4 linked regions of the Pelodiscus sinensis genome follow. The protein of the gene in region 2 binds, or shares a complex with, the protein of the main gene of each other region. Links are inferred from orthologs where the notes say so. Each region holds a gene or a part of one and is shown on either strand. Other genes may lie near its edges. The genes, in order: ERCC3, POLR2F, POLR1C and POLR1H.

What was found.
Region 1: POLR2F (region 2) and ERCC3 share a complex: the UniProt entries of both Homo sapiens proteins name them as parts of the TBP-based Pol II pre-initiation complex. The link is inferred for Pelodiscus sinensis from reciprocal best matches to the Homo sapiens genes POLR2F and ERCC3.
Region 3: POLR2F (region 2) and POLR1C share a complex: the UniProt entries of both Homo sapiens proteins name them as parts of the pol I pre-initiation complex. The link is inferred for Pelodiscus sinensis from reciprocal best matches to the Homo sapiens genes POLR2F and POLR1C.
Region 4: POLR2F (region 2) and POLR1H share a complex: the UniProt entries of both Homo sapiens proteins name them as parts of the pol I pre-initiation complex. The link is inferred for Pelodiscus sinensis from reciprocal best matches to the Homo sapiens genes POLR2F and POLR1H.

Annotation. Positions count from the first base shown.
Region 1 is NC_134717.1:3,276,379-3,284,220, reverse strand, and holds the start of ERCC3 (general transcription and DNA repair factor IIH helicase/translocase subunit XPB), read right to left. Parts: upstream 3,013-7,842; 5' UTR 2,717-3,012; coding exon 2,698-2,716; intron 1-2,697. UniProt on the Homo sapiens protein: ATP-dependent 3'-5' DNA helicase/translocase. Binds dsDNA rather than ssDNA, unzipping it in a translocase rather than classical helicase activity. Component of the general transcription and DNA repair factor IIH (TFIIH) core complex.
Region 2 is NC_134711.1:92,139,043-92,146,437, forward strand, and holds the start of POLR2F (DNA-directed RNA polymerases I, II, and III subunit RPABC2), read right to left. Parts: upstream 3,007-7,395; 5' UTR 2,893-3,006; coding exon 2,873-2,892; intron 1,330-2,872; coding exon 1,260-1,329; intron 330-1,259; coding exon 199-329; intron 1-198. Other genes in the region: C1H22orf23 (UPF0193 protein EVG1), read left to right, coding at 3,513-3,521, 6,121-6,241. UniProt on the Homo sapiens protein: DNA-dependent RNA polymerase catalyzes the transcription of DNA into RNA using the four ribonucleoside triphosphates as substrates.
Region 3 is NC_134713.1:139,251,539-139,258,791, reverse strand, and holds the start of POLR1C (DNA-directed RNA polymerases I and III subunit RPAC1), read right to left. Parts: upstream 3,011-7,253; 5' UTR 2,979-3,010; coding exon 2,910-2,978; exon of another isoform or gene 2,906-2,909; intron 2,196-2,905; coding exon 2,124-2,195; intron 909-2,123; coding exon 801-908; intron 1-800. Other genes in the region: protein YIPF3, read left to right, coding at 3,472-3,555, 3,787-3,987, 4,346-4,452, 5,292-5,337, 6,141-6,233. UniProt on the Homo sapiens protein: DNA-dependent RNA polymerase catalyzes the transcription of DNA into RNA using the four ribonucleoside triphosphates as substrates.
Region 4 is NC_134742.1:11,063,682-11,071,125, reverse strand, and holds the start of POLR1H (DNA-directed RNA polymerase I subunit RPA12), read right to left. Parts: upstream 3,009-7,444; 5' UTR 2,861-3,008; intron 2,239-2,860; 5' UTR 2,237-2,238; coding exon 2,107-2,236; intron 1,888-2,106; coding exon 1,787-1,887; intron 1,576-1,786; coding exon 1,466-1,575; intron 1-1,465. UniProt on the Homo sapiens protein: Core component of RNA polymerase I (Pol I), a DNA-dependent RNA polymerase which synthesizes ribosomal RNA precursors using the four ribonucleoside triphosphates as substrates. Can mediate Pol I proofreading of the nascent RNA transcript.

The sequences.
Region 1 (7,842 bases), on a different chromosome or scaffold from region 2:
CTCCAACTGAGGCCTACCTACAAGCTCAGAGTAGAGCGGAAGAATAACTTCTCATGTCTTGCTCACAACACACCTGTTCATGCATCCCAGAATCATGTCGGCTTTTTTTGCAACAGCATCACACTGCTGACTCTCATTCAACTAGTGGTCCACTAGAACCCTAGATCCCTTTCTGCTGTACACCTTCCTAGACAGTCGCTTCCCATTCTGTATGTGTGAAACGGATTGTTCCTTTCTAAGTGAAGCACTTTGCATTTGTCTTTATTAAACTTCATCCTGTTTACCTCAGACCATTTCTCCAATTTGTCTAGATCATTTTGAATTATGACCACATCCTCCAGATTAGTTGCAACCCCTCCCAGCTAAGTATCATCTGCAAACTTAATAAGCGTACTTTCTATGCCAATATCTAAATTGTTGATGAAGATATTGAACAGAGCTGGTCCCAGAACAGACTGCTGGGGAACCCCACTTGTTATACCTTTCCAGCAGGATTGTGAACCATTAATAACTATTCTCTGAGTACGGTTATCCAGCCAGTTATGAACCCACCTTATAGTAACCCCATCTAAGTTGTATTTACCTAGTTGATAAGAATATCATGTGAGACCGTATCAAACGCCTTACTAAAGTCTAGGTATACCACATCCACTGCTTCTCCCTTATCCACAAGACTCCTTATCTTATCAAAAGTGGCAAGGAGTCCTGTGGCACCTTATCTACTAACCGAAGTGTTGGAGCCTAAGTGTTCATGGGCAAGACCCACTTGGTCATATGCATGCAGTGGAAATTCCCAGAGGCAGGTATAAATATGCAGGCCAGAAGAGGTGGATCCAATGAGGGAGGATGAGGCCCACTTCTAGTTGCTGATCTGGAGGTGTGAATACCAAGAGAGGAGAAGCTGCTTTTGTCATCCTAATCCTATCAAAAGCAGCTTCTCCTCTCTTGGGCTATGTCTAGACTGCAAGCCTCTTTCGAAAGAGGCTTTTTTCGAAAGATACTTTCGAAAAAGCCTCTGTTGAAAGAGAGCGTCTAGACTGCACGCGGAACTTTCGAAAAAGCAAGCCGCTTTTTCGAAAGACAACAGCGAGTGAGTCTGGATGCTCTCTTTCTAAAAAGCCCTGTTTGCTTTCAAGAACGCCTTTTTTCGAAAGAGCACTTTCGAAAAAAGGCGTTCTTCCTCGTGGAATTAGGTTTACCGCTGTCGAAAGAAAAGTCGCGTTCTTTCGATTTAATTTCGAAAGAACGCAGCTGCAGTCTAGACGCAGGTGAAGTTTTTTCGAAAAAAGGCTACTTTTAAAAAAAAAAAAAACCCTGAGTCCGGACACAGCCTTGGTATTCACACCTCCACATCAGTTACTAGAAGCGGGCCTCATCCTCCCTGATTGGATCCACCTCGTCATCTCCAGCCTGATTCTGGCCTGCATGTTTATACCTGCCTCTGGGAATTTCCACTGCATGCATCTGACGAAGTGAGTCTTTGCACACGAAAGCTTATGCTCCAACACTGCGGTTAGTCTATAAGGTGCCACAGGACTCCTCGCCGCTTCTGCTGATCCAGGAGCAGGGCTCCTCCTCGGATACTGACCTAGCGAAGAAAGCTACAGGCACCCAGAGGCAGGCGCATGCACAGAAACGCACAGAGGCGCCCCCAGACACACGCACCCACCCACACACACCCCAGACACCCACATCCACCCCCACCCCCGCCGACACCCACCCACACCCCCCCACACACCCTGACACACACCCCCCACACCCGACACACCCACCCCGACACCCGACACACCCCCACCCGACACACACCCCGACACCCCCCCCACACCCGACACACCCCCACCCGACACCCACCCCGACACCCCCCCACACCCGACACACCCCCACCCGACACACACCCCGACACCCCCCCCACACCCGACACACCCCCACCCGACACACACCCCGACACCCCCCCCACACCCGACACACCCCCACCCGACACACACCCCGACACCCCCCCCACACCCGACACACCCCCACCCGACACACACCCCGACACCCGACACACCCCCACCCGACACACACCCCGACACCCCCCCCACACCCGACACACCCCCACCCGACACACACCCCGACACCCCCCCCACACCCGACACACCCCCACCCGACACACACCCCAGACACCCCCCCCACACCCGACACACCCCCACCCGACACACACCCCGACACCCCCCCCACACCCGACACACCCCCACCCGACACACACCCCGACACCCCCCCCACACCCGACACACCCCCACCCGACACACACCCCGACACCCCCCCCACACCCGACACACCCCCACCCGACACACACCCCGACACCCCCCCCACACCCCGACACACCCCCACCCGACACACACCCCAGACACCCCCCCACACCCGACACACCCCCACCCGACACACACCCCGACACCCCCCCCACACCCGACACACCCCCACCCGACACACACCCCGACACCCCCCCCACACCCCGACACACCCCCACCCGACACACACCCCAGACACCCCCCCCCCACCCGACACACCCCCACCCGACACACACCCCAGACACCCCCCCCCACACCCGACACACCCCCACCCCCCGACAGGCTCAGGTCCGGAGGCCCAGGCCGCTGGGGGGGGGGGTCCAGGTACCGCCGCTCGGCCCGGCGCCCCGGGGGGGGGGGGGGTTCTCACCTCGCTCGCGCTTGCCCATCGTCCCGGGCCCGTCACTGCCCAGCCGCGCGACCACCGCTGGGCCCGGCGCCTGCCCTGCGCGTCACTTCCGGCACGGGGACCCGCCCAGCTTGTCACCTAGCAACGCCCATCCCGTGTAGCCCTCCCTCGTCACCCGCCCAATCGCAGCGGCGGTACCGGCCTGACACTCCACCTGCGCGGAGCGGGGCCCCGCCCGCCGGCCGGGCCAACGGCCACCGCGGGGGGGGGGAGGGGCCAGCTCCAGCGCCGCGGCGGGCGGGCTCAGGCGCGCGCCGCCGCCGTTCCCGCGCTCTAACGGCCAGCGCGCGACCGGCCCCCTTGGCGCCCCGCCCCTCCCAGCTCGGCCGAGCCCCGCCCCTTCCCCCGTCACAGACACCCGGGGGAGTGGGCCCCGCCCCTCGTCATAGACACCTAGGGGGTAGGCCCCGCCCCCCCTTCCCACGTCATAAACACCTGGGGGAGCGGGTCCCGCCCCTCCGCGTTTTCGCAATAACGATGGGTCCAATCAGAAACGTCCAATGCGGGTAGCAGATGCTAATCCCGCCGCTGGAGCCAGGGGCAGGTTGCTGCAGCCCCGCCCATTTCAGCGGAGCTTCCTACACAGCTAGTAGTGTGACTATGCATAAAAAATTGCCCAATCAGGGCCATGGTTCTTCGATTTAAGTCATAAAAACAGGTATTTTAACACTTCAGCTGCATCTACACTGGTAGGTTCTTGCACAAGAACAGGTCTAGCTTTGCACATGGCAGTGTGGACGAGCTCTTGTGCAAGAAAGCTCTGACAGCTATTTTAGCTGTAGGGCTTTCTTGCAGAAGAAACCCTTGCCATACGTCCACACTGCCCTCTTAGGCAAGAAGGCTTACACTTGTCCGAAAAGAGCATAGCTCTTGCACAAGAAGCCCTGTCTTCTGCTGCCCTACTGTAAATCTTGCACAAGAGCAGGGGGGCAGGGTGAATTTTTGTGTAACAAAAAATCAGAGGCATTTGTTTTACAGCATGAGGGAGGGTTTTTCACATCTATAAAAGAGGACTGTTGTAGATTTAAACTTTCTAGCTTGGGTGTAGACAGATGCTTTTGGTACCATTACTTGCATGTTATATTTTGCTTTACTTAGAAGATATGTTACTTGTCTAGTGTTGCAAGCAAATGTAATATGTGAATACATATATTTGCTGTCTTGGAGACAAATCAAGAGAAATATAAACTGGAAATAAATATTTTATTAACACTCAAAGTGCCATTATCTATAGTTGTTCCATAGTTCATAAGGTTACATCCTGTAAACCTCTGCACCATAACCTTTCAAAAATGAATAAAAATTTGGAAGAAAAAGCAATCTTTCATTGTGCTAATTCTTGCAGGTTCTCATGCATGATCAACCTAAACAAAGATGTGTACCAGTAATATACAAATTTCATATAAACAAAGTCATTGATCAAACACAAAATATAAACATGGCTTCTTTTAACATCAGATACAAAAAAAACCCCAAACAAAATAAAAGCCATTTACCAGCAAGAAAAAAAAACAGGTAAATACATACAAAAGTAAAAAAAAAAAATCAAAAAAGTTTATACATTTTTACAAGCACAATTTTGAGAATGTAACAAAGTCAAAATGTGCATGAAAAGTGGAAGAAACCACACGTACCAGGCAATTAGTAGGTCCTGTGTCTAACAGAGTATACTGGCTCTTTTCCTAAACTATGGAATTAGAGACATTCAGCAGTGCACTGTGTACCTAGCATGAGAATTTTTACTTGGTATCACTTTAAACATCATACAGGATTTTTATTTTTTAAGCCACAAAAATGTTAAACAAATTGGAAGTCAAAAGTTTGACTGGTATTCTTGAAAGGAGTAAGCCACATTTTTAAAGCATGTTCTGAACTTCTTATGTGCCAGTCAATCAGCGATATAGTAACATGCTTATCTTTTCCAATACCAGAAAACTGGAAAGGGAAAAGGGTAAAGAAAGAGAAGCATTAACATTACATGCAACAGAAAGGACAAGAGATGGAAAAAATCTGACTTTTCCAAGGTTCATTTTGTTTTCACACATTTTTTCAAGTAGCTTTGAGAAGTCAAAGATTGCTTTCCCCTTTTCACAACAGTTATTTTCTCTGTATCACTGACACTAAGCATTTTGGGTTTGTTTTTTTAACAAAATTCTTAGAGAAATCACACTGTTGTCCCTCCAGAGTGCTTTAATATACTTCTAAGTACAATTCATGTCCAATTTTGGAAATACAAATACATTTTGAATGATTAAAAACAAAATTAAAAAAATATTTTCTGAACATCAGCCAGCTGAAAATATATTTATCTAGTAAATTATCTCTCAAAGCTTTTATATATTTAATTATTCTAACTAAACATAGTACCCTTAAAAACAAGTTCATAAAAATGTAGAAATTAAACTGTGGAATAAGACTGCTGGAACATATTTATGTGTACGCACACACACATTCAGTTCATACGCAGAATTACAAGTACACTTTAAAGTTTGGAAAGTTGCTAGATACATTATGGAACTAGTAAGTAATGCTCAACTCCTGAGTTCCTCAACCAAGATATAACCATAGGCTAATACACTTTTACATAAGATATTCCATTTAAAGCAGCAACAGCAGCAGTGCAGTTACTGATAGCAACATCTCAAAAGGAATAAAAAACACATCCAGACAGTAGTACATTGCACACATACGTGATTCTCATACACCCATCAATTGGTCAGAGTATTAAATCAGTGTACTAATTAAACTTTTTCAAAAAATGTGCAAAAAAGTCAACATTGATAGAAAAAAACACCTTTGTGTACATACATTACAAACTGTGCCCAGCATTCAACTGAGAGTAAAAACATTTACAGAGAGAAACTGATAGATTAAATATAGAGAATTTAACAGCTACATAAAAAATGTACATTAGATTAAAAGGGCAAATTTACACATTTATTCATAGCATTGTGAAAATTAAAAAGCCTACTTTCAAATTTATCTAAGTCTCCAACATTTATTTACAATGATATTCCATTAAATGAACTGTGTGACATCTGAGATGGCAGACATTAAGTTTTAATAAATCATTTACATTTTAAAATGAATGACAGATTTAGACCAGTAGTAAGCTAACTATTGTAAAACTGACAGGAAAAAAATGTAATGCTTGTTTTTATATCCACGTTTATATTCTCAGGGGATGGAGGAAGAGAAGATCTATTACAGGGAAAAAAGATGCCAAACTTTCTGAAATATTCCCCATGTTACATTCAGTATAAACCCACATTTTTTTCTTCTCTTCTCCACACAAGAAGTCTGGTCTTGCAATCCTTACTAGCAGGAGTTCCACCAACATGACTGAGTGATCAGGTCAAAAATTCACTAATTTTTATCCAGTCTTTTCTCTCCTTTTAAAAGAGCTAGTCAAAATGAGCTCACTGAATTTTGTCCTTTCAGTACATGAGAGCTCAACTGAACTACACCTTTTGTTGCTACCAATTTTTGCCAAGGTACTGCTAATGGTAGAACGTAAAGTATGATCCAAAAAAGATACTGAAGTAATGTCAGAGAAAATTTAACACACAAACCAAACAGAGTACTCTTTGTTCCTGATCCAGAGTTTGACTTAGAAATCTTATCTTGGGTAGGAAAATTCTGCTCCCTCCAGTGTACATTCATGGCTCTCCCCTTAGGGCAGTGTAAGTCCCATGTTTCTAGGGGGTGAAATTTGGCTCTTAAATTAAAAGGACTACTTCCCCCAACAACCTCTGAGAAGTTGTTTGCTATGGCACGACAAGCAGTTCAGATTACAAATCTACTTTACTTCATGGCTTTCCTTAAATTCCCCCCAACTCAAACTTGGTTATAAGGAGTAAATCATAGGAAAGAAATTTAGTCACCAAATTTTGCATTATGTTAGTGATGTCAATAAGACTGTGTAGAGTTCAAAGCTTTTCATTTTAATGCTGGAATGAATTTTGCACCTCAAAGCAACAACAACAAGCATCCAAATCTATCTTAAAAAATGGGCATTGCTGGATCTCACTTTTACTAGTACCTGGTTTAGTCTATTTAGCAATAGCTTTCTGGTAGATAAGGGTGAGTAACAGTACTAATCTATGAAACATCACTTTTGGCTTTTGGAGAGGGGATAGAAAAGCTTTGGGTTTTTTTTTTTTTTTTTTTTTTTTTTTAACATGATTTGACACTGCATACTTGTCATGAATACAAGATAGGAAGTTCCCAGGGGGTAAGAAATGGTATTGGCAGTAACACCTTTGCTAATCCAAAAAACACCATATGGATTTGCATTCAACCACACAATATATACTTTTTTATATTCATGATAATAGTTTAAAGAACTAGAAGATTAAAAAGCTAACAAACTTAGTTCTACACAACTGTAGATCTGACCAATTTGTTTAAGTCTCTGAAGCTGTAGTTTGACATTGCTCAATGTTGCCTGAAGGAATGGCTTACTACACTGCACTGTGTACCTTCTGCTTCTCCCAGGAAAGCTTTCATTCAAGACAATGGCAGGATTAGGATTATTTAAAAGCAGAAAACAATATCAGTTCAAACAAAGGTAGCTCAGTTGAACTATTTTCTCATTTGTTAAGATAGAAAATACTGCTGTACCTTTTTAAGCAAAACAACTTCCTTTTTATTATAGTTCTTGGGCAAGATAGCTATCCTGTCTCAGTTTTCCAATCTGTAAAATGGGGATAACATTAACCTCTTTGCTGGAATGTTTGTACAGTACTCTGAACAGAGAGAGCACTGTAGGTGCTAAGTATTTTTATCATTTTAACACTGTAGTAAATTCTCAGCCTAAAAGCCTGCTACAGTTAAAGTAAAACTGTTGATGCAATTAGTGAGTTCTGTTTTGAAGCCTCGTATATATTTGTAAAGACTATTTTGGTGGCACTAAACGATTAGACAGCCATATGATTTAAATATGGTGTCTCTACCTAAACAAAATTAAGGCATAGAGATAAAAAGGCACTACCAAAAGAGACAGGACAACAAAAGGACAGTTTAACTCAATTAGAAATGTACCCTGAACTATTATAAATTTTTTTTCCCAAAACAAAATGGAAGGAATTATGTATGCAAAAAGGA
Region 2 (7,395 bases):
CTAGTAGGCTGCAGAGACTCAAGTTTCCATTTCCATTTTGCAGATGTCATACAGAACCTCACCTCGCAGGGCAGGTGGAGAATCCACAAAGCTATGGAAGATCACGAATAGTAAGAAAGTAATTTAAACACGGAAAAAACATTTTGAAATGCCATGAGATGCCTATGCCAAGGCTGGGGGTGGAACAAGTGTACTTACGCTATCTGGAGCGCACGAGTGCCCAGGACTCTGGCTCTCTCATATTTGGTCATATATGGAGTCGTGATCCGCTTCTGATTTGCCTGTTGTCTCTCTCCAGATGGAAGGATTTCTACATTCTCTTGACCCTCCTGAAGAAATAAAGGAATATAAGCTATTGTAAGCATACTGAAGGAGCTGGGCGTCCTTAATAGATTTTCTCAGACTTTGGAATCAAAGTTTAAAAAGTCTACACAGAATTCCAAAAAAGTACTTTGAGTAAAGAACAACCAAACATCCAATTGGGAAGTGCATTTATCTGATTAATATTAGGTTACCAAGACCTGGATTCTATTCCCATTCCTAGTGTCTCACTCTGTAGAGTGCAATGCGATCAAGATCATAGAATCACAGAGTTAGAAGGGACCACCAGCGTCATTTAGTCTAACCCCTGATAAGATGCAGGATTTGTTGTATCTAAACCAGGAGTGGAAGACCTTTTTAGGGTTGAGGGCCGCTGACCCACGTTCCCCTTGCACACCAGAGTCTATGGGGTTCCAGGCTAGATTTTGGAGCATCAGCGAGGGCTCCCCAATGCTGGGGGAGAGCCCTGGGCTTTGGGGGCCAGATCCAGGCAACCTGGAGGCCACATCCAACCCTGGGGCCTTAGGTCCCCTACCCCTGTTCTAAACCATCCAAGACTGACAGTTACGCCCAGTGATGGAGCTTCCACAACCTCCCCAGTCAGTCTGTTCTATTGCCCTGCTGTTCTTACTGTTTGGAAGTTTTTCCTTAATCTAAATCTGCTATACTGTACTGTGAACCCACTGCCTCTGGTCCTTTCCTCTGTGGAAGAAAGAACAACTTTTCTCCATATTTTTTATGGCAGACAAGTGCTCTAAGAGCCCGCACCCTGCAGTGCCATCATAGGGACAACTGCCATTCCCAGTAACTAGCTCCCAGCAGGACAGGAACTCAGAGTGGTTTGGGGAAAATGAAAATGCTGTATAAAAAAGGAGGCATTGTGAACCATACAGGGGCTAAGCAGAGAGCTGTTGGGGAGGAAGGGTTTGAGCACTAACCTCCTCTGCATTCTCCAAATCATCCAGCCCTTCATCTTCCTCCACATCATCAAAGTCATCACCATCAAAGCTGCAGGTGACAGAAGGTCACTTTTCACTCTACAGCCAGAGCCCAACCTACTTGCTGCCGCCACCCAAGGTATGTCTAGACTACAGGCTTTTGTTGGCAGAAGTTTTGTTGACAGATGCTGTCAACAAAGAGGGCAGGTCTAGACTACACGCCTCTGGCAACAGAGGCATGTAGATTAGGCTACCCGGCATAGGAAGATGAAGCGGTGATTAAATAATCGCCACTTCATTTACATTTAAATGGCTGCCACGCTGAGCTGATCAGCTGTTTGTCGGCCCAGTGTGGTAGTCTGGACGCTCACGGTCGACATCAAAGGCATTTGTTGACCTCCCAGGTAAACCTCATCCCATGAGGCATACCTGGGAGGTCGACAAATGCCTTTGATGTCGAGCGCGGAGTGTCCAGACTACCGCACTGAGCCGACAAACAGCTGATCAGCTCAGCGTGGCAGCCATTTAAATTTAAATGAAGTGGCGATTATTTAATCACCGCTTCATCTTCCTATGCCGGGTAGCCTAATCTAGATGCCTCTGTCGCCAGAGGCGTGTAGTCTAGACGTACCCAGAGCGTCTAGACTACATCCAGTTCTGTCAACAAAGCAAACCTCTTTGTCGACATGACAGTGTAGACGCAAAGGACAGCGTAGCTGCAATAACGCCTTCTGTCGACAGAACTCTGTTGACAAAAGGCCTTATTCCTCGTAGAATGGGGTTTACAGCCACCGACAAAACTGCTGAGTTCGACAAACGTTACGTGGCCAGAACTCAGCAGCAGCACAGACGCAGGTAGAGTTTTGTCGACAAAACCCCCTAGCCTAGACACCCCCACTGTGGAGATTCCAATGCAGCCTTGCTGCCTCCCCACCCCCGCGGCCCGCTGCTCCTCCCCTGCAGGGCTCCACGCCCCCCCCCCTCCCGGCCCGCTGCCCCTCCCCCGCAGGGCTCCACGCCCCCCCCCTCCCGGCCCGCTGCCCCTCCCCTGCAGGGCTCCACGCCCCCCCCCCCTCCCGGCCCGCTGCCCCTCCCCTGCAGGGCTCCACGCCCCCCCCCCCCCTCCCGGCCCGCTGCCCCTCCCCTGCAGGGCTCCACGCCCCCCCCCCTCCCGGCCCGCTGCCCCTCCCCTGCAGGGCTCCACGCCCCCCCCCCCTCCCGGCCCGCTGCCCCTCCCCTGCAGGGCTCCACGCCCCCCCCCTCCCGGCCCGCTGCCCCTCCCCTGCAGGGCTCCACGCCCCCCCCCCCTCCCGGCCCGCTGCCCCTCCCCTGCAGGGCTCCACGCCCCCCCCCCCCTCCCGGCCCGCTGCCCCTCCCCTGCAGGGCTCCACGCCCCCCCCCCCCTCCCGGCCCGCTGCCCCTCCCCTGCAGGGCTCCACGCCCCCCCCCTCCCGGCCCGCTGCCCCTCCCCCCGCTTTGTCACGCGCCGCCCCGGAATCCCCTTCCACCCCATTTCCCTGGGCCGCCTCCTGCCCGGCCGGGACCCGCCTGCGGCCTGGCCCTTCACCGCCGGGGCCGGACCCGCCTCCCCAGCCACGGCGCCTCCTTCTCACTTGTCCTCGTTGTCAGACATGCTTCCGGCCCGGCGCGAGACTCTCGCGACACCAACCGCAGACCCGCCAGGTGACGACGGAGCAGGCAACCCACGAGAGCGGCCGATGAGCTCTCCGAGCAGCGACTTCCGGGGTCAGGGATAGCGGAAGCGGAAGCGGGTGGCGGAGCGGATCTCCATGGCAACGGGAGGCGCTAATTCGGGTGAGTAGGCTGAAGCGACTGAATCGCTGCGAACTCCCGAATCTCCGCGCTTCCGGGTTGGGCCCAGGCCGCCCGCCAATCAGGGACCAGCACGGGTTTCCATGGAGACTGGAAGATGACGTTGGCGCCTCATTCTAACCATCAGTTGCATCACAGCTTCGTGTGTGACGTCACCGTATTATAGGCGTCCTCTCCCATTGGGCGCTGGGTGGCGAGACCCCCGTGAAGGGGGCATTACACTGCCAGGCGCTGACTCTGCCTGGGCACCCCCTCTGTGGGAGAGGGCCTGTGCCCCTAACAGCCTGGCACCCTTGGGCGTGAGTGGGGCCATGACGAGGCATCCTCACAGGGAGGTCCTGGGCCTGGCCTTGTTGGGTTAGTGTGTTGCTGCATTGCATCGCTCTGGGGGGCCTGGGCATCATCCTACTGCATTACGCAATGGGCTGGGTAGGTGTTGTTTCATGGCATTGCATCATAGGTGACTCACGGTAGCAGTCATGGGGTGCTCCTGTCAAAATTGTAATTGCTAAATGGGGTGCCCCCCATACCCGCTCTCTGTTCCTCTGGGAGGCCCTCCTTGCAACCCCTCCCCCGACTGGCACCAGTCATCTATGTCAGTGGTTTTCACACTTTTTTTGTCATGAACCAGTTGAAGAAAATTGTTGATGCCTGCGACCCAGCATAGTTTGAGTACGGTATGGCCTCCAGGGTGGCACTGAGGATGAGCGCTTTGGGGTATAGGAGGCGGCCCAGGCTTTGGGGGTGGGTCAGGGCTGGAGCAGGAGAGGCTTACTTTGAGCTCCTTTCAGTTAGCAGTACAGTGGGGGTGCCAAACCAAGCTTCCTGCCTCTCATGGAACCACAGACCATGCCATGCCACAGAAGCAGCCAGCAGCAGGTTCCCAGCCAGTGGGAGTGCGGAGCTAGTGCTCAGGGCAGGGGCAATTCACAGAGCCCTGTGTGCCCTCCCGCCACCCATCCCCCACGTAGGAGCCAGGCCTGCTGCCGGCTGCTTCTGGGGCACAGTGCAATCTGCAGTGGAGGAGCAAGGGCAGGCCTTAGCTCCTCCACTGATCACCTGATCCCCCTGCAGCAAGACCCAGTGCCTGATATTCTATGACCCAGTACTGAGTCACAACTCATAGTTTGAAAACTGTTCTGTGGCAATGCAGTGTGGGGGTGGTAGGACAGCTTCCTGTTGCATTGTGCCAAGGTGTGAGGAGTATCCCACTGGGGCACTGCACTGTGTGTGGAGCAGGGTATCTTCTCTATGTAACTGGATAGTGATGTCATCTGTGGTATCACAGATGTGAAATAAACTTACATTGCTGCACCCCATGGGGAGGGAGAAGGATATTTCCCCATCAGCCTGTGGTGATGAGTTGACTAGTGGGAAAGTACATTGGTGCATCTAGACTAGCAAGATTTTGCGCAGAAACTTGCCAGCTGTCTACACTGGCCGTGTGAATTTGCGCAAGAGCACTGACTTTGTAATGTACAAAATCAGTGCTTCTTGCGCAAATACTTTCACGCTCCTGCTCAGGAAAGAGCCCTCTTGCGCAAGAATACTTGCACAAGAGGGCCAGTGTAGACAGGGAAGAACTGTTTTGCACAAAAAAGCCCCGATGGCTAAAATGGCAATCGGGGCTTTCTTGCGCAAAATCACATCTAGACTGGCCACGGATGCTTTTGCGCAAAAGCACTTTTTGCACAAAAGCATCTGTACCAATCTAGATGTGCTTTTGCGGAAATACTTTTAATGGAAAAACTTTTCTGTTAGAAGTATTTCCGCAAAATCATGCCAGTCTAGACGCAGCCCATGTGTTTGTATGTGTGACAGTGCTAAGGTCCTTGAAGATTACAGCCCAAATCAGCATAAATTAAGATATATATGGCAGGAGTGGGGAACCTTTTTTGGGTCAGGGGCCAATGACCCACAGAAAAATAAGTCAAGGACCAACACACAAGTGAGAAGCCAACTCCCCCCCCCCCCCCCAACTGATGTGGCCCTCAATTGAGCAGCAGAAAAAATTTACACTTCCTTCACTCATGCAACTCAGGGCACCAGGGTTCCTCTCAAACTCCAGCCCTGTGGAAGGGGCAAGGCTCAGGGCTCTCCCCCAGGACTGGATTAACTCTTCTGGGGGTCTGGGGCTAGTAGATTTTGTGGGGGCCCCTAGGCTTTGAGGTGGGGCTAAAAATGAGGGGATTATTGTGCAGGAGACGCCTGCTAGGGAGTAGGGTGGGGTGCAGGGTCTGGGTACGTGGTAGTGTGCAGAGGCAAGTGGGGGTATGGAGTCTGGGCAGGAAGTAGGGTGCTGGAGCAGGTTGAGGACAGGCATCAAATCTGTTATTCCCTCTGAAGAGGAAGTGTCATGTTCTGAGATCAAGCATGTAAATGTGTTGAGCTCATGCATCCCAGTGTATGGCTTCACTGCAAAGAAAGGTGTAATTGCAGTGCGGGTAAGCATACCCACACTAGCTTTAATTGACCTTACAGGGTAACCATAACAGTGAAAATATGGTGGCATGGGCTGCAGTGCAGGCTAACAATCCTAGCACTAATTGGCTGCAGGGAACCCTTGGTATATGCTTGGATTGCAAACCATGCTAAAATCCATGCTCCCACAGCTTCACTACCATTGTTGCCTGCTCTCAGTAGATTAAAACTTGTCTGGGTATGTCTATCTGTGCTAAAATTACAGCACATTAATTTGTGTTGTCAAGGTATTCCAGTCTACGTAGTGGTTAATATGACTGGTACGTTCCTGGGGTTTACCACCTTTCTTAATTTGAAGTAATTTTGTCATCACAACAGAGGAAAATAAAAAGAGGGCATGGGAGATTCCCTCAGTAACTTTTCAGGGGTCAAGGCTTCAATAGATTAGCTATATCTAAGTAAGTATTAAGGTTGACTTTGAATTAATAGAGACTGAGTAATGGGATTCTAGAATGATCGAGGGCCATGAACAGAGAATGTTCTTTTGAGTTGACTCATTAGAAGTTGAATATGATTTACTGACTCCTGGCCTCACTGTCATTTACAGGGCTTCACAATGTCTTCCCAGGAGGGAAGAAGAAAAGTGCCAGCTGTCCCAAAAGGAGCCGGTTTCTGGCATTCTCCTGGGATAACTCAGTATGGACAAGAAACAAAAGAGCTGTTGAAAGGTAAAAGGAAGATTGAATGGAGAACAGTGAACAGGTCTTTGACACACACCTCCTTAAATTTGTATCATGCTTCCCGCTTCACTGGATCATTGTTCCATTTATAGCAGCAGTTTGCACATTTTAAAAAACAATCCAAAAAACTCTACTGCTCACACAATTCCCCTCCTCCTCCACCTGTGAAGAAGATGAAAGAGAGAATGAACCACATCTAACAGATGTTAGTCACATCATTTGATGCACTACTGGAAGGTGCCCAGGTACTACAGTGATTAGGATGGTAAAAGAACTTACCTAGAATAGAAAAAACATTAGTAACTCATGTTGCTCCTGATGCTTGGAATGCGCTTCCTAAATCCATTCTCTCCTTCTTCCTTACCTCATTCACTAACTCCTAAAGACTCCTGCAGCACCCAGGCCTGCTGACAAGGAGGGCAAAGAGAGCAACTGCCCCCAGGGCCTGGCAATTCCAAAGGGCCCAGGGCTCACAGCAGTGATGGTGGCCAGAGTCCTGCACAGCACTCTCTTGATAGCTCTGAGGGCTGGTGGGATGGAGGGGTGGCACAGTCTATATACTGCTAAGGACTGGCTGATGCCAGCCCTGCCCTTTCTGGAGCGCCTGACACACACCTTGCCTAGAGGCCCGGCAAGTCTTTCTGCCCCCTTGGCAGTATCCTTTCCCCCATATATACAGTTCAGTGGTTTAGAATGTGTATCTGCCTAAACTGACTGAAAGTATTATTCTATTACCATAACCCATGCCATTCATCACCCTTCCCTTTCTTGCTCTCTGATACATTCTTACATCTCCTATCCAGTATTTAGTATATAAGCTTTTCAGGACAGGAACCTGTCTTGTATATATTTCCTATAAAGTGCCTATCTTATCCAATCTATCTGTCTCTCTGGATTTTTACATGATACTCAAGCACACTTAGGGGTGTTACAACATACTAAATAACAACCTAGTTCTGTATCCCTCCTCCAACTGTAACCAAAGTAGATAACATAAAATCCCTTTGTTGTACTAATTCCACATGACTATGCCACATGGGTAATGCCATCCTGATCCCCTAATTGATGATCAGCTAAAGGATTAGGCTCCATAGCTTGTTTAACTAGTTCCCTTGCTAGACAGAGTTACTGCAAATGCTGTT
Region 3 (7,253 bases), on a different chromosome or scaffold from region 2:
CAGCCAAAAGTTTTTTTGCTCCACCCCACCCTCTTTGGAGTAAGTCAAACTCTTGCCCTTCACAGATACCATCACCAAAGGAGGATCTAGATCAGGATCCTGTATCTTCTTCATTCCCTGCTTTTACCACTTTCCCTCTCTCTGTTTGCTGGTTCCCTCCCAATAACTGTGTTGTGTAATTGCTAATAATTTGAATGTTACCACTAACTTTAATAGGATTTAGTATTACCCATTATGAGCAGTTGTAGAACATGGCCCTATACCAGAGACATAGATCTGTGCATAGGCTCTTTAATAGCTATTAGCAGCTGGACTATACTTCTCATCCTAGAAATGCAACAATTTCTGTTTTAGCACTGGTGCTCTCTTACACAAACTCATTACATAAACTTCTAGTTTACAGGGTCAAAGACTGTACTACCTGGAGCACACTGAGTTCTGTAGTCCATGGAATATCCTCAGTGCACTTCAAGCCTATTCTCCACCTCACTGAGTTCGGAGATTCTGCCTTCTCTATACTCTTCAGTCACAATCTCACCTTTCCAAAGATCTGGGTCTCACTCCCCCCAACACTCCCAGGAGCTAGTGCCCCAGCTGGCCTGCCTTCAAACTTCTTTACCAGTTAACACAATCTAGCTTCTGGGCAGAGAAAGAGAAGGTTAGGATACATTTTTTGTCTATCGCAAAGATGCTCAACATTAGCCAGGTCTAGCAGTGAGAAAAGACATGACAGGATTTGATGGGACTAGCAACTGGGTCATGCAGCCCTGGCATGAAGATCCGGAAGCCTCTGTGGGTACCTCAGCGAGCAGGATGCGCCGGAAGGCATTAGCAATGGCTGCGTCAATCCCCACCATGTCGAATTCCAGCGTGTTCTCATCCATGTGGATCACGTCCACCCGGAAATTCTGTAGGGCACACGCAAGGGAGCAGTCACCAGGTACCAATTCACGAGGAGGGGCTCAGCCTTGTTGGCTGCTGCCAGGTGCAGAGGGGTATTGAGCAGGTGGCTAATGGCCACCTGCTATGGGGCTGCAGAGGCCAGCCACAGGAGACCCCAATGTCTCTCCCCCCCCAACCCCCGCCGCTTGCAAGGCCTTGGTCCCTCACAGGTTCCCTGCTAAGTTCCCTCTAGGGTGCATGCCTGCACAGGCGTGCACAAAGAATTTGAAGCCCGCCCACCTCTTCATCAGAGCCACTGGAAGGTAAGCTGCTGGCGGTAGGCTCTGTGGGAGACTGGAGGGATAGGGTTGCATGGTGGCTGCCCAGTTGCTCCTGGGATAGGCTGTATGGTGGGTAGCTGCCCTGTGTGCTGGTGCTGGAGCCAGCTCCAGCCCCAGCCCCAGCCCCGGTACACAGGGTAGCTACCAGCGACATAACCCACCTAAGAAGCAGCTGGGCAGCCACCATGCAGCCCTGACCATAGCTCCAGCCCTTCCCCACAGCTGAAGTTGTTGGCCACGGCAGGCCATGTGGCAGCATGGAGGGTGGCTGCTTCAGGGGCTGGGGCCTGCTCCTGACCTTCCCCAGAGCTGGAGTTGTTGCCAGGGCTGTGTAGTGGCTGCCCAGCTGCTTCCTGGGCAAGCCATATTGCAGGGGAAAGGTGGGCTGCTGAAGCTGGAGCCGGGTTGCTGGGCAGCGGTTGTTCCTGAGGCCAAGGCTGGAGCTGGGCTGTGGTGAGGCTGTTCCTGGGGCTGGGGCCCACTTCATCCCTCTTCCCACCCCCACACGTCTCTTCTCCCCTCAGAGTTCCCTACCCCTGCAACCTCCTGCCAGCCCCAGCACCTAATTCCCTGCAAACCCTGGGCACTGGCAGCAGCTTCCCTCAGCCTCAGGCAGGGACTCTCAGCCAGCCTGGGGAAGAGCAGCGAGGGGGCAGAGTCTGCCCTGGGAGCAGAGCTCAGGTCTGCATGCTGGGAGAGTCTCTTGAGAAGTATCACCACTGGTGGGGGATATGGTGACACACATCCGAACAAGTGCACGTGACCTCATTATAGGCACAGAAGACAAAACTCACTTCGCTCATGGAAGGAAAATATCTTAGAGGGAACACTGGTTCCCTGCCCCCTGCCTGCTCAGACCCCCTTTCTTCCCCCCATTAAGGGTCCCCAGTGGCTTCTTACCTGTTCGAACTTGGCTTGGTCCCAAGCGTCGTCATAGCCAGGGTAGTTGCCAGGAAAGTCCGTGGTGTGAACCTGGAGCAGAGGTGGGCAGTAATTTTTGGGGGTGGGCCACTTCATGAATGTTAGTCATGGGCTGGCTCAACCCCCCTCCGCCAGAAGGGGCAGGGCCTGGGGCAAAAGGGGAGACACTGGGGACTCGCCTCTCCCCGGAGTTGTCTGGGGCTGGAGGTTCTGAAGTAAAAACACCGCAAAGGGCTCGGGGCCCCGGCCCTGCTGCTACCACCACGTTGCCCGGCAGCCGCCCGGGCTTGCTGCGGCCATTGGAAAGGCTCGCGGCTCCGGCCCCTGCCGGGCAGTGCTGCGATCGGGAGTCCCGGGCGGCCGCCAGGCAACACGAAGCGGCAGGGCCGGGAGCTGCAGGCCCTTTAAACAGCGGCAACTTCAAGGGCTCCCGACGCTGCTGCTGCATTTGCCCGGCTACCGCATCTATTTAAAGGGCGCGCGGCTCCGGCCCCTGCCGGGGCAGCACCACAGCTCGTGAGCCCTTTGGACAGGAGCCTTCTGCCCGAGCCGCGCCTGGAAACGCGGGGTCAGGGCCACAGGGCGCGACTAGGAAGCGGCCAGACTCCCTCCCTGTCAGGGGGCCGCATCTTGCCAGCCCAGCCCCGAGCTGGAGCGAAGCAGGGGCCGCGTGCCAGGGGCAAACCGCCCCCAACCGCCGCTCACCAAGACCCGGGCGCGCGCCCGGCCCCCTCCTGCCTCGCGCGCGGCCCCCAACTCACTCACGTTGCGGACCCCGAACTCCCCCAGTATCACCCGGCTCCGCATCTCCTCCACGCCGCCGCGCGCCGCCATCTTCCTGGCGCGCCCCCAGCACGTGACACGGCCACAATCCGGCTCTTCTCTGCGCAGTCGCATTAGTGAATACCCACTGCCCTGTCACGTGATACGGACCTTTCCTTCCGCTTTGGCGGCGCCGGCGCCTTAGCCCGACTTGGTCTTCACCATATTGGGTGTGGCGTTGACCTAAGAAACAGCCACTACTGCTATCGCGGGGTTGTGGGTCTTCGCCGCTGGGTTGACGCTGTCTTGATAATAAGGCACCGCTCTCCCCAGACCCTTCTCCCAGAGGCGCCTTCATGCTCGCTCTTATGCCACAACCAAGATGGCGTCGAGACCTGGTCGCTAGTATGAGATCTCGCGAGAGCAAAGGCGCATCCACGTCCTCGGCCGAAGTTGCCGAGGCTTCTGACGTCAGTCACGTCAGTCTCCAGACTAGGCTCCCCGGAGCCCCTGCAGTGAGGCGCAGAGCGGCCGGGGGCCCCGGTGCCCCCAGCCAACGGGGAGGATGTCCGGGCCCGGGGGGGCGGCGGCGGGCGGCGGCAGGCCCGGGAGCGCCGCGGAATGGGGCGGCTTCGAGGACAATATGCAGGTGCGGGGCTGGGCAGGGAGGAGGGGGGAGCCGGGGGGGCCCTGCGGTTGTCAGCGGTGCGGGCCGCTGCTGTGCCCCCCCCCAACACAACACCCCCCCCCCGGCTCTGCGCTTCCCCGGCTTGGGAGCTAGGGTGGCGCCTGCCCTGCTGCGGGCGCCGCGGCGCTGGGACGGGCGCTCCCCGGCCCTGGCGCTGAGCCTGACTCCCCGACCCTTTGCCCTGGGGCGCAGGGAGGCGGCTCCGCTGTGATCGACATGGAGAACATGGACGACACGTCTGGCTCCAGCTTCGAGGACATGGGCGAGATGCACCAGCGCATGAAGGAGGAGGAGGAGGTGGATGCAGAAGCTGCTGCGGCAGACGAGGAGGATGGAGAGTTCCTGGGCATGAAGGGTTTTAAGGGACAGCTGGGCCGGCAAGTAGCTGACCAGGTGAGCAGAGCGCTGCAAGAGATGGGGGGCGGGCTGTGTTGCCTTCTTGTGTCTGGCTCTGACTGTAGTGAGCTATAGATGTTGAGTCCCATTTTAGGTCCAGGTAGCCATTTCCAATATGACCCTGAGCTATCTCACCTTTGGTTTCTGGGTGCTACAGCTTGAGTCCCATTCTGGGCTTGATGTCTTTTGTCCTACTTTCCCCTAGGCTTTGGATGGGATGCTGATCACTCCAAAGATGTTTAATTTTCATTCTGGTTATTTAGCCACTGGATGCTTTGGTTCCAGGAGATGCGCCTCAGAACGGCATTGCAAAGGGAATGTTTAGTCTGCTACAGTTACTGATTTCTCTCCCCAGATGTGGCAGGCAGGTAAGAGACAAGCGTCGAAGGCCTTCAATCTCTATGCCAACATTGATATTCTCAGACCTTACTTTGATGTGGAGCCCATCCAGGTTCGCAACAGGTGAGCAAACTAAGCACAGGGGCAAATGACTTAGGCCATGCAGTTATCTCAGTCTCGCATCCTCGTATGAGCAGCCCGGTCCACTACTATGGCCCCTTCATGGGGTACTGTGAAAGGCCTGTCATGTATTCCTGGTCCAGTATAACGGGGTAGAGATGCAACCTGAACAGGACAGAAGGGTCATGCCATAAAGTGAGGAGCATCTCCCACTGTTTCTCACATAATAAAGACCTGGATAGCTCCTAACTAATCCACGTCTGCTTATGGACTTGCTATGGAGATAGCCTTTGGGGGAAATTTGTCCAGGATCCTCCCTTGTTTACCCTTCATTATTCCTAAAGGGCTACCCTCAGTTCATCCTGAGATGCATGTTGTTTCATGTATAGCCTAGTGCTGCCATTCTAAGTGTAAGATACAGGGTTTGTGGAGCTGAACCAGCAGCTCCTTTAGCCTTTCATTGTTACTGCTCTTGCATACAGTGTGGGGAAAGGGCATACATAGCCCTACAAAACCTCATCTGTCCCACAAGTGCAACACTTTGCACATCTCCTTTATAATAGCCATGGTGTCACCCTGCTCTCGGGACACCAGGCAGAGAAAACTGTTTGTGCACAGGGGGATAGGATTGCAATACAAATCCTCTTCCCCTCTAAGGCACTGTTTCCAGTCTGGTGCCTGGCTGTTAGTGGGACTGGCTGGCTTTGTTGAGGGTCAGAGGGGAAGAGATATGGAGCTTTGTATCACTGATCAGGGAATGGAATACAGCATCTCCTGCTTCTTGGGTTTCTTGTTAACTTTTTCATTTCCTTCCTCACTCTTGATATTTCTGTGAGGTGCAGACTGCTGGAATCCATGATCCCCATGAAGATGATTAATTTTCCCCAGGTGAGTTCCACTGTGGAGAGCTTTTATTCTATATCCTGAGTAAATGCGCTTTAGAAAGTACAGGAGCACTTAATCGGTTGTTAAATATTTCTAACACACACATCTCTCTATCAGTAGGCTGCACACCTTTGCCTGAGGGGAGTTCAGAAATTCCAACCAGCACCAAGGGGACAATCGGGCCCTGCCCTCTACTCACATTCACCTCCAAGTTCAATGCTCTCTGAAACTGTCAGTTTGCTAAGGAATAAGCCTGTCAGCAAAGTGCTGCTGACACAGTGCTACAGACAGCTCTTGCTCACTTTGTCAAGAAGTGAATTACAGCTGTCTTGGGCCTGAAAGCAGGCTACCCTGGGCTCTGACTCAGACTCCTTTCATTTTGCCTTCCATTCTTTCTCTGCCCCCCTCTCCCAGAGTAGGGAATTAGTTAAAGCACTTTGCCATGCATGTGCCAGGGTGACTGATTATGTATGAATTGTGTGAGAGAGATGTTGTTGTATGGTGCCTCTGCTAGATTTTCTGGTTAATTCCCACTGTACCACACCCCGTCTGTACCTGTCTCTTGCAGTGGGACAAGCATGACTTTAGCTCCTGATCTGACTCAATAACTCTGTTAAGCTTCTTCCTCAAGTCTTACTTATGTGATTGTTTCTCTTTGGTAGCTATCACCAGCCTTTTGTATAATTGCTCAGGTCAGCAAGTGACCAGAGTATGAGCTAAGTCTGGGGTACTTCCCAGGTAATCTGAATGTGGTCTGGCTTTCTGCAGCACTAACCAAACCCCTCTCTTCTCTGTCACCCTTGTAGAAGATTGCAGGTGAGCTCTACGGCCCCCTTATGCTGGTCTTCACATTGGTGGCTATCCTGTTGCATGGGATGAAGACTTCAGACACTATAATTGTAAGGGAATATTTCAGTTTCAAATCAGGTTGGCACCAGGCTTTGAACTGCTGTCAGTTACATGGGGTGCTTCTATTTTGAGTGTGACTTAGAAATGCATTGGTGACAGGAACCTTGATGTGTGATAGGGCCTATTCTGGGGCTGTCTGGGAAGTGGGAAAAAGCCTATTGCAGTGGATGAACTAGCGTAGGGTGTAGTGCAGCTGGAGCATTCCAGAGATGCACCCCTGCATCAGAAATCCAGGACTGGATGGTGAGGATTGGGAGGAGCCACCCTAGCTTGGGACAGGAACAGGATGCTGTACTGGGGGTTACCAGGGAGTGGCTAGAAAGGTACCAGGGTGAGTTGTGAGTGGGATTGAGAGTGATGGAGCTGTGGAGGGGGCAGTATATTGAGGTGAGTGGGGGGCTAGGGGGGCTAAGGTGTTGGGCACTGCTGGGAGTGGGATGTGTGTGAGGGCTGTCAGGATAAGTTGGAGCTGGATGGAAAATCATTGTCAAGCTGGTCTGATCAGCCAGTTAAATTAGTTTTATGGGGCAGCACTACAAATATAGCTGGAACATACCTGTAAGCACTGCTTTTATTTAAAACTTGTAAAGATTATTGTGTGTCACCTTTGGGCTTTTTTACTGACTAAATGTGAGTTTTGGATGTACTTTGCTATTTATCTTTTATAAGCCAAACTTAAACTGAGTTATGCATGTTTTATGTTATGATACCTGTATTTATTACTGAAGTCTCATCTACTGATAGAGAAAACGTTAGGACATGGAGGCTTTCTGTGGTGATGTCACACAAGATCATCCCTAAAATCTGTCACGTGACAGAATTACCTACTTGAGGTCACTTCTGCAGGCCTCTTGTGCTATACAGTTTAGCACTGTATCACTGATCCTCCCTCTCTGGATGCTGCTAGGCAGGCATTAGCTAAACATTTGCCAAAGGCAAGGGGGAATCTGCTGGCGAGGGGGTAGCGATTGGCTTGTATCTGTTCTGTGAGATGTCTTCTCTGTCCTTTT
Region 4 (7,444 bases), on a different chromosome or scaffold from region 2:
GGAATAGAGATCCCCCATAATCTGCTTTTTGGGGGTGACCACAGGAGGGTCTCTGTAAGGGATATAGAGGCCACTCGCCTTCCCACTTTACTCCTTTTGTCCATTTACTTTGATGAGTTACAGCACACAACAGGCAGACCAGGTAGTTAAGATCTAAAGAAAGGCAACTCAAAGGAATGCAGCAGGACTGTGTGAATTGTTCCACGCTGGAAAATTAGATTGACCCAGCTACATCGCCGAAGGGTGTGAAAAATCCACCCCCAGCGGAGCATAGTTAAGCCTACCTAAATCTCAGTGTAGCCAGTGCTTGGCTGATGGATGAATTATTCCACTGACATTGCTATTGCCTCTCGGAGAGGTGGATTACCTGTGCCGTGGGGAGGCCCCACCCCCCGCTGCAGCATAGGCAGTACACACTGATGTACACCTTGTACACTACAACGGTTCAACTGTAGACAAGCTGAAAGACTTTACATGGAGCCAGGTTCCATGTGTGCGCATGCGTGTAATCGGTAAATCTCAGTTTCCCCACACACATCCCCATTGTCGCTGGCCAACGCACGTCCATTAGGTCGGCATACACCACATCCTAGTGTTGTCTGGCTTAGTGTGAGTGAACAGCACTCTGGGAAAAACCTAAGCAACTTCCCACAATACCCTGCAATAGAGGTGTAAAGGGGTAACCGGTTAACCAGGGGTGCCTTCCACCCCTATTAAAATGCTAACTGGGGTAACTGATTAACTGATCATCCAGAGCACCCCACTCCTGACTAGGCGCACGGTGCCGCAAAGGGAGGGGGAAAGGGAGATTAAACACAGTTTAACTGGTTAACATTTTAAACAGGATTTTAACGAGCATTAGGCATAAGCAGATAGGAAACCTGTGAAAAATCGAGATGCAAGCCAGAGCGGTCTCTTGCCAATATCCACAACCAGGATAAGGAAAGGTATAGAGCAAGTTAAGAGATTGGAACAAACAGGAGGGGGCGTGTGTCTGGATTTAAGTGACGTATTTGGTAACTTGCAAAATCATTCTAGATATTTCTGGCTGAAATGCTTGGGGACATGCTGTGTGCCATGTTCCCTCTAATTTTTTCCATCAATGTGTGGAATAAATTTTATTGCATGCACTGAGGAATGTGCAGATGTGCATCACCAAGAGAAACACAAATCTACCTGTGGGCAGTCTGCTTGTCAGTGGGGCAGCATTTGAATCTCCTCTGGGTGGCTGCCCACGTGCTCAATTTACAGGAGAACATTGTACACCTTGTATAGCAAGAATACGCAGCTAATTTTTTTCCTGGGAGTTTTTGTGTTTTTTAGGGGGGCAGCCTTTCAAGATACACTCCAGATTGGTTTAACTGATGAGGACAGACAGCTGAGATCTAGGTTTCCTTCCCGATTGATGATAAATTTCCCATTCTTCCCTTCTAACGTGATCAATAGGGAAGGGACAGTGCCTTACTTGCACTGGCTGCAGGTGTAGAAGACGGTCTGTCCTTCATCCGCAGATCTCATCTGCCGGGTGTGGTACACCATGCCATCGTGGCCACAGCGGGGGCACTTCCTGTCAATCTGAAAGGATCCCCAAGGTTGAATCAAATCCATACAATGAAGATTCCCTCCTACCTCCCACAAAAAAAAATCAAAATAAAATCCACCACTGGCATAAAAGGGAAAGAAGTCAAAATCAGGTGATAGTGTATTGGTGGGACTCCCTGCTGCAGGATGTTAGACTATTGATGTGTGTTTTCCTTCCCACCTTCCTACAGAAATCCCCACTCACCATTGGTCCCCTGACCTCCTGCCCATCATCCAGCATCATCACAGACATGGAGCCCAGCCTGTTGACCTCAATACACGACTGGACCACCCTTCCTTCAAAATCTGCACAAGGAGAGCCACAGGCATTACTGGGGAACTGGCGAATCAGAGAGCGGAGCGAACGCACTCTATAGACTCGCTGTTTGGTCAGCCAGCACTAGACCCCACTCCCTCCCAGAGGCCCCACCCCCCTGCTCTACCCACTAGCCCACACTCCCCATCTTGGGGGATTTCCCTCCCTTAGGTCAATGCCAGCACACATGTGGGATGTGCCGCCCTCACCTCGTATGTTGATGGAGAAGGAGCACCGCATGCAGGTCACCTTGTCCTGGATGCCTGGCAGGGGCAGGATGGTGCCACACTCGGGGCAGAAATCCAGGTCCGACTGGAAGCAGGAAGTGTCCTGTTCCATGGCTGGGAGAAAAGCCCCAGGTTAGCTGAGCGGTGGTTGTAGGACTCAGCCAGGTCTCTCTCTCTCACACTCACACACACACACTCTCTCTCTCTCTCACTCTCTCTCACACACACACTCTCTCTCTCTCTCTCACACACACACACACTCTCTCACACACACACTCTCACTCACACACTCTCTCTCACTCACACACACTCTCTCACACACACACACACTCTCTCACACACACACACACACACACACTCTCTCACACACACACACTCTCTCACACACACACACACAAAACAGAGGGATGGGTTTGCACAGGAGGCCAAAAGCAGGGCATATCTGCATCAATTCATGCCCCTCCCAATACTGCACAAGCCCCCTCCCAGCTGCTCCTAATGCCCCCACATCCTTTCCCCTCCCCCCCACGCTGCTCCTAATGCCCCCACACCCCTCCCCCTTGAACCCACGTTGCTCCTATTGCCCCCACGCTGTCCCTCCCCCCACGCTGACCCCATCACACGAACTCTCCCCCTCGCTGCCCCCTTTAATCCCGAAGTGGTACCACGTAACCCCCCTCCCCCCGCGCCTCCTGACACAGGGCAGGTCCCTGCCCCCAAACCAGCCCCCACGCACCTCCCCGCTGCGCTGCGCGGCTCCCCGGCCCCACACGTGTCGCAGCGTTCGGAGCAGACAACTCCGGCCGGGCGGGGGACAGAGCGGCTGGTCCTCCAGAGGAGTGGAGACAAGGGGCGGGGCGAGGCAGAGTGTCCCCCCTGCCAGGGGCTGGGGCTCAGCAGCTGGAATGGAACAGCTGCCAGCCCCTCCCCCTCCTTTCACCTGCACCCCCTCTGCTAGTGCCCCTCGCTCCTGGCCCCCAGCCCAGCCCTGCCAGTGCCCCCCCAGCCCAGACCCACAGCCCTGCACTCCCCCCAGCCCTGCCAGTGCCCCCCAGCCCAGACCCACAGCCCTGCACTCCCCCCAGCCCTGCCAGTGCCCCCCAGCCCAGACCCACAGCCCTGCACTCCCCCCAGCCCTGCCAGTGCCCCCCAGCCCAGACCCACAGCCCTGCACTCCCCCCAGCCCTGCCAGTGCCCCCCAGCCCAGACCCACAGCCCTGCACTCCCCCCAGCCCTGCCAGTGCCCCCCCAGCCCAGACCCACAGCCCTGCACTCCTCCCAGCCCTGCCAGTGCCCCCCAGCCCAGACCCACAGCCCTGCACTCCCCCCAGCCCTGCCAGTGCCCCCCAGCCCAGACCCACAGCCCTGCACTCCCCCCAGCCCTGCCAGTGCCCCCCAGCCCAGACCCACAGCCCTGCACTCCCCCCAGCCCTGCCAGTGCCCCCTAGCCTAGACTCACAACCCCCTTCCAGCCCAGCCCTGGGCTCCTCCCAGCTCTGCCTTCCAGTTCCCCCCAGCCCAGCCCTCCAGCCCCTGCCAGCCTATCCAGTGCCCCCCAGCCCAAATCCCCAGCCCTGAGCTCCCCCAGCTCTGCCAGTGCCCCCCAGCCCAGACCCACAACCCTCTGCCAGCCCTGCCAGTGCCCCCAGCCCAGACCCAAAGCCCTGCCAGTGCCCCACCAGCCCAGACCCACAGCCCCTGCCAGCCCAGCCAGTGTCCCCCAGTCTCATTCCCCCCAGCTCTGCCAGTGCCCTCCCAAGCCCAGACCCACAACCCCTGTGTCCACACCCCCTGCTTGGCCATTACCCCTCGCTCCCACCCTGCTGCTCTGTGCTAACTTGGCCCACGGGCTCCCAGTTTTCCTTAGTGCTTCTCAGGGCTGACCCTGGCTCAGTCTGTCTACAGGCCCTGGGTCAAGGCTGCAGGGCCGGCCCACAACATTTTGGCACCTGAGGCGGGGAGCTCAAATGACACCCCCATGCCCCCTCGCTTGGGCCAAAACTTTGAAAGTTCTCTTTTGCCCTCCTTCCTCCAGCACAGCACTCCACCGTCTCTGTGCGTCTAGAGCAGAGAGAATACATATTCACCAGCAGCAGACACAATTTTCTACAGTCTGGGTCCTAGTGGTGCCCGCCCCCAGTCTGGCACCTGAGGCAGCCGCTTCCGTTCACCTCGTGGTAGGGCTGGCCTTGCAAGGCTTGGCCAAAGCATCTGCAGTTCACTCAGTGCTAGAAGAGGTGCTAGGGCTTTGTATCCCCTTCTCCAGGCACTCATCTGGGACCAGCAGAGAACCCAAAGCCCTAGAGGGGCCAGATAGAACCCATGAGTCCTGGCTTCCAGTTTCCCCCTTACTCTAACCCGCTGGACCCCTCTCCCCTCCGGGAGCACTCTCAGATGGTGAACAAGGACCAGTTTAAGTCAGGCATGCAAACAGGGCCCATATACCGTAAAACCTGTGTTATCCGGCACGCTTGGGGATTAGAGCATTCCGATTATCTAAAAATTCCGGTTAGCTGAGGGTCCCAATAACCTAGGAAAAACCAATGGACACCAGGGCCGTGTCCAGACTCAGGGGTTTTTTCGGGAAAAGTAGCCTTTTCCCGAAAAAACTTCCCCTGCGTCCAGACTCAAGCCGCGTTCTTTCGAAATTATTTCGAAAGAACGCGGCTTTTCTTTCGATGGCGGTAAACCTCGTTTCACGAGGAAGAACGCCTTCCTTCGAAAGTTCCTCTTTCGAAGGAAGGCGTTCTTCAATGTAAAGAGGCCGTCTTCGAAAGAGAGCATCCAGACTCGCTGGGTGCTCTCTTTCGAAAAAGCGGATTTCTCTTTCGAAAGATCCGCCTGCAGTCTAGACGCGATCTTTCGAAAGAGGCTCTTTCGAAAGATGCTTTCGAAAGAGCCTCTTTCGAAAGAAGCCTGCAGTCTAGACATAGCCTAAGGGTGTGTCTAGACTACAGAGTTTTGTCGACAAAAGTGGACTTTTGTGGACAAAACTATACTTGCGTCTACACTACCACTGAGTTCTGTCGACATAACATCGACAGAACTCAGCAGTTCTGTTGACGCTGGTAAACCTCATTTTACGAGGCATAACGCCTTTTGTCGACAGACTTCTGTCGACAGAAGGTGTTATTGCCTGTAGGGTTGCGTCTAGACTACAGGGTTTTGTCAACAAAGCAGCTTGCTTTGTCGACAGAACTGAATGTAGTCTAGACGCTCTTTGTCGACAGAAGCTTTGTCAACAGTATCTGTCGACAAAACTTCTGTTGACAAAAGCCTGTAGTCTAGACGTACCCCAATAGTAAAACTCAAGTTTTTAATGTTGGTAGTTTTGCAGTGTGAGGCAGTTGGTCTCACATTTCTATTGTGAGTTAAAGATGATTAGTACTTCTTAATAAAAAAATTGTGAAGCCAGTTATGGTAAACCAAGCCAGGCGTGTGCGCCTGAAGATGTGACAGTATTGTGGCTGGGGGCAATGCCGGTTAACAAAGTGCCGGATAACAACATTTTCACTGTATTAGGTTTCCCCAGGCAGGCTCAACCTAGAGGTCCATCTAGCCCAATAGCTTGTGCCTGGCAAGACAGCCTGTAATGTTTGTGTACACCCAGGCTACGTCTAGACTGGCATGATTTTCCGCAAATGCTTTTTCCCTTTGTTGCCCCATCCGTCTTTGCCCACGAAAACTTATGCTCCTACACTTCAGTTAGTCTATAAGGTGCCACAGGATTCCTCGCCACTTTTTTAGTGGAAAGTCAGTGACCGGTTCAGCATCAGAGCATCAAGGGAAGTTTTACCACAGGTGACAAGAGGTTTCAAACAAACAAAAGGAAGTGTTTCTTCACGCAGCGCACCGTCAACCTGTGGAACTCCTTGCCAGAGGATGTGGTGAAGACCAGGACTTTAGCAGGGTTCAAAAAAGAGTTAGATAGATTCATGGAGGTTAGGTCCGTCAATGGCTATTAGCCAGGAATGGGTAGGAATGCGGTCCCTAGACTCTGTTTGTCAGAGGCTGGAAATGGGTGACAGGGGAGGGATCACTCAATGATTTCCTGTTCTGTTCACTCCCTCTGGGGCACCTGGCATTGGCCACTGTCGGCAGACAGGACATTGGAGTAGTAAATGGAGCTATCAAGCCATGTACTACTCACTGGGCAAGGTGGACCTTTGGTCTGACCCAGTATGGCCGTTCTTATGTTCTTAAGAGTCAGGACGACACTTGGCAGGTGACACTGAGACCCAGATGTGGTGCCTTGACGGGCCCCATGTTTTGAAACTCATCTGCACTGCCTCTGGACAATGGCCCACGTGAACTGGTGGGACAAGGTTCCTAGCATGGAGGTCCTTAAGCCGTGTGGTGTTGTGCGCAGGGAAGTAAGGCTGCTGAACAGTTCTGCTGGATTGGCCATTGGATGAGGAGATGATATGTGGATACCAGCATGGGTGGTGGGTGTAGGTAGGGTTGGGGAAGGCAAGCCCCACTCCCAGCCCTGCCCAAAGTCTCACCCCTTCTACCCAGGCCCCATCCCCATGGGAGCCAAGCCTCTCTTTCCCCCACCCAGCGTGTGGCTCCAGCCTCCGTGGCCCCGGAGCACACGTGGCAAAGCTCTGACCATGCCCCAGGGGTCCCACACTTCTGGCAGACAGCGTTTGCCTCAGAGGCATGCTGGGACCCTTCACACGGCCTCTCTCTTTACTAGAGGCAGGGCTCGCTGCCTACTGAGCCGTCCTGGCTAGTCCACAGTTTGGGGTGAAAACCCCTCTGTAGTCCCCGTCTCCTCTCTCCACTCTGTCGTGGCGTGGGGGAGTGTTGGGAGGAACCCGGGCCCACCCACTACTCCAGGATCCGGCCCAGGGACCCTAAGGCAGCGACAACAGACAGGATATTCTTCTGCTGCCAATCTGGCAGCTTCTTTCCTGAGCCGCTTCCTCAACTGGTCCCTCCCTGCGCCTTCCCTCTGGCACCTGAGCTAGTCAGTCCCACTCCTCCCTGTCACTCTGCCTTACTCGCCATCCTCAGCTCTCACTCAGACACCTCTCTCTCAAATCTTGGGCTCCTACTGCTCTCCCTGCAGGGAGGCCCTTATCACCAAGCCCCAGCAGGCCTTAATGAGTTGCAGGTGCCTTGATTTGCTTGCTGCTTCTGGTAAGCCCTTAATTGGCCCCAGGTGCCTTCCTGATTAAGCTGCACTAGACTCAGCCCTATTTACTCAGGGAAGAGAAAACTGTTCACCCAGAGCCCAGCATGTCTAGCCTCCATTAGAGTGCGGCAGCCAGCTGGTCTGGGTCTGTCATAGAAATGATGCAGGAAGATTGGACAT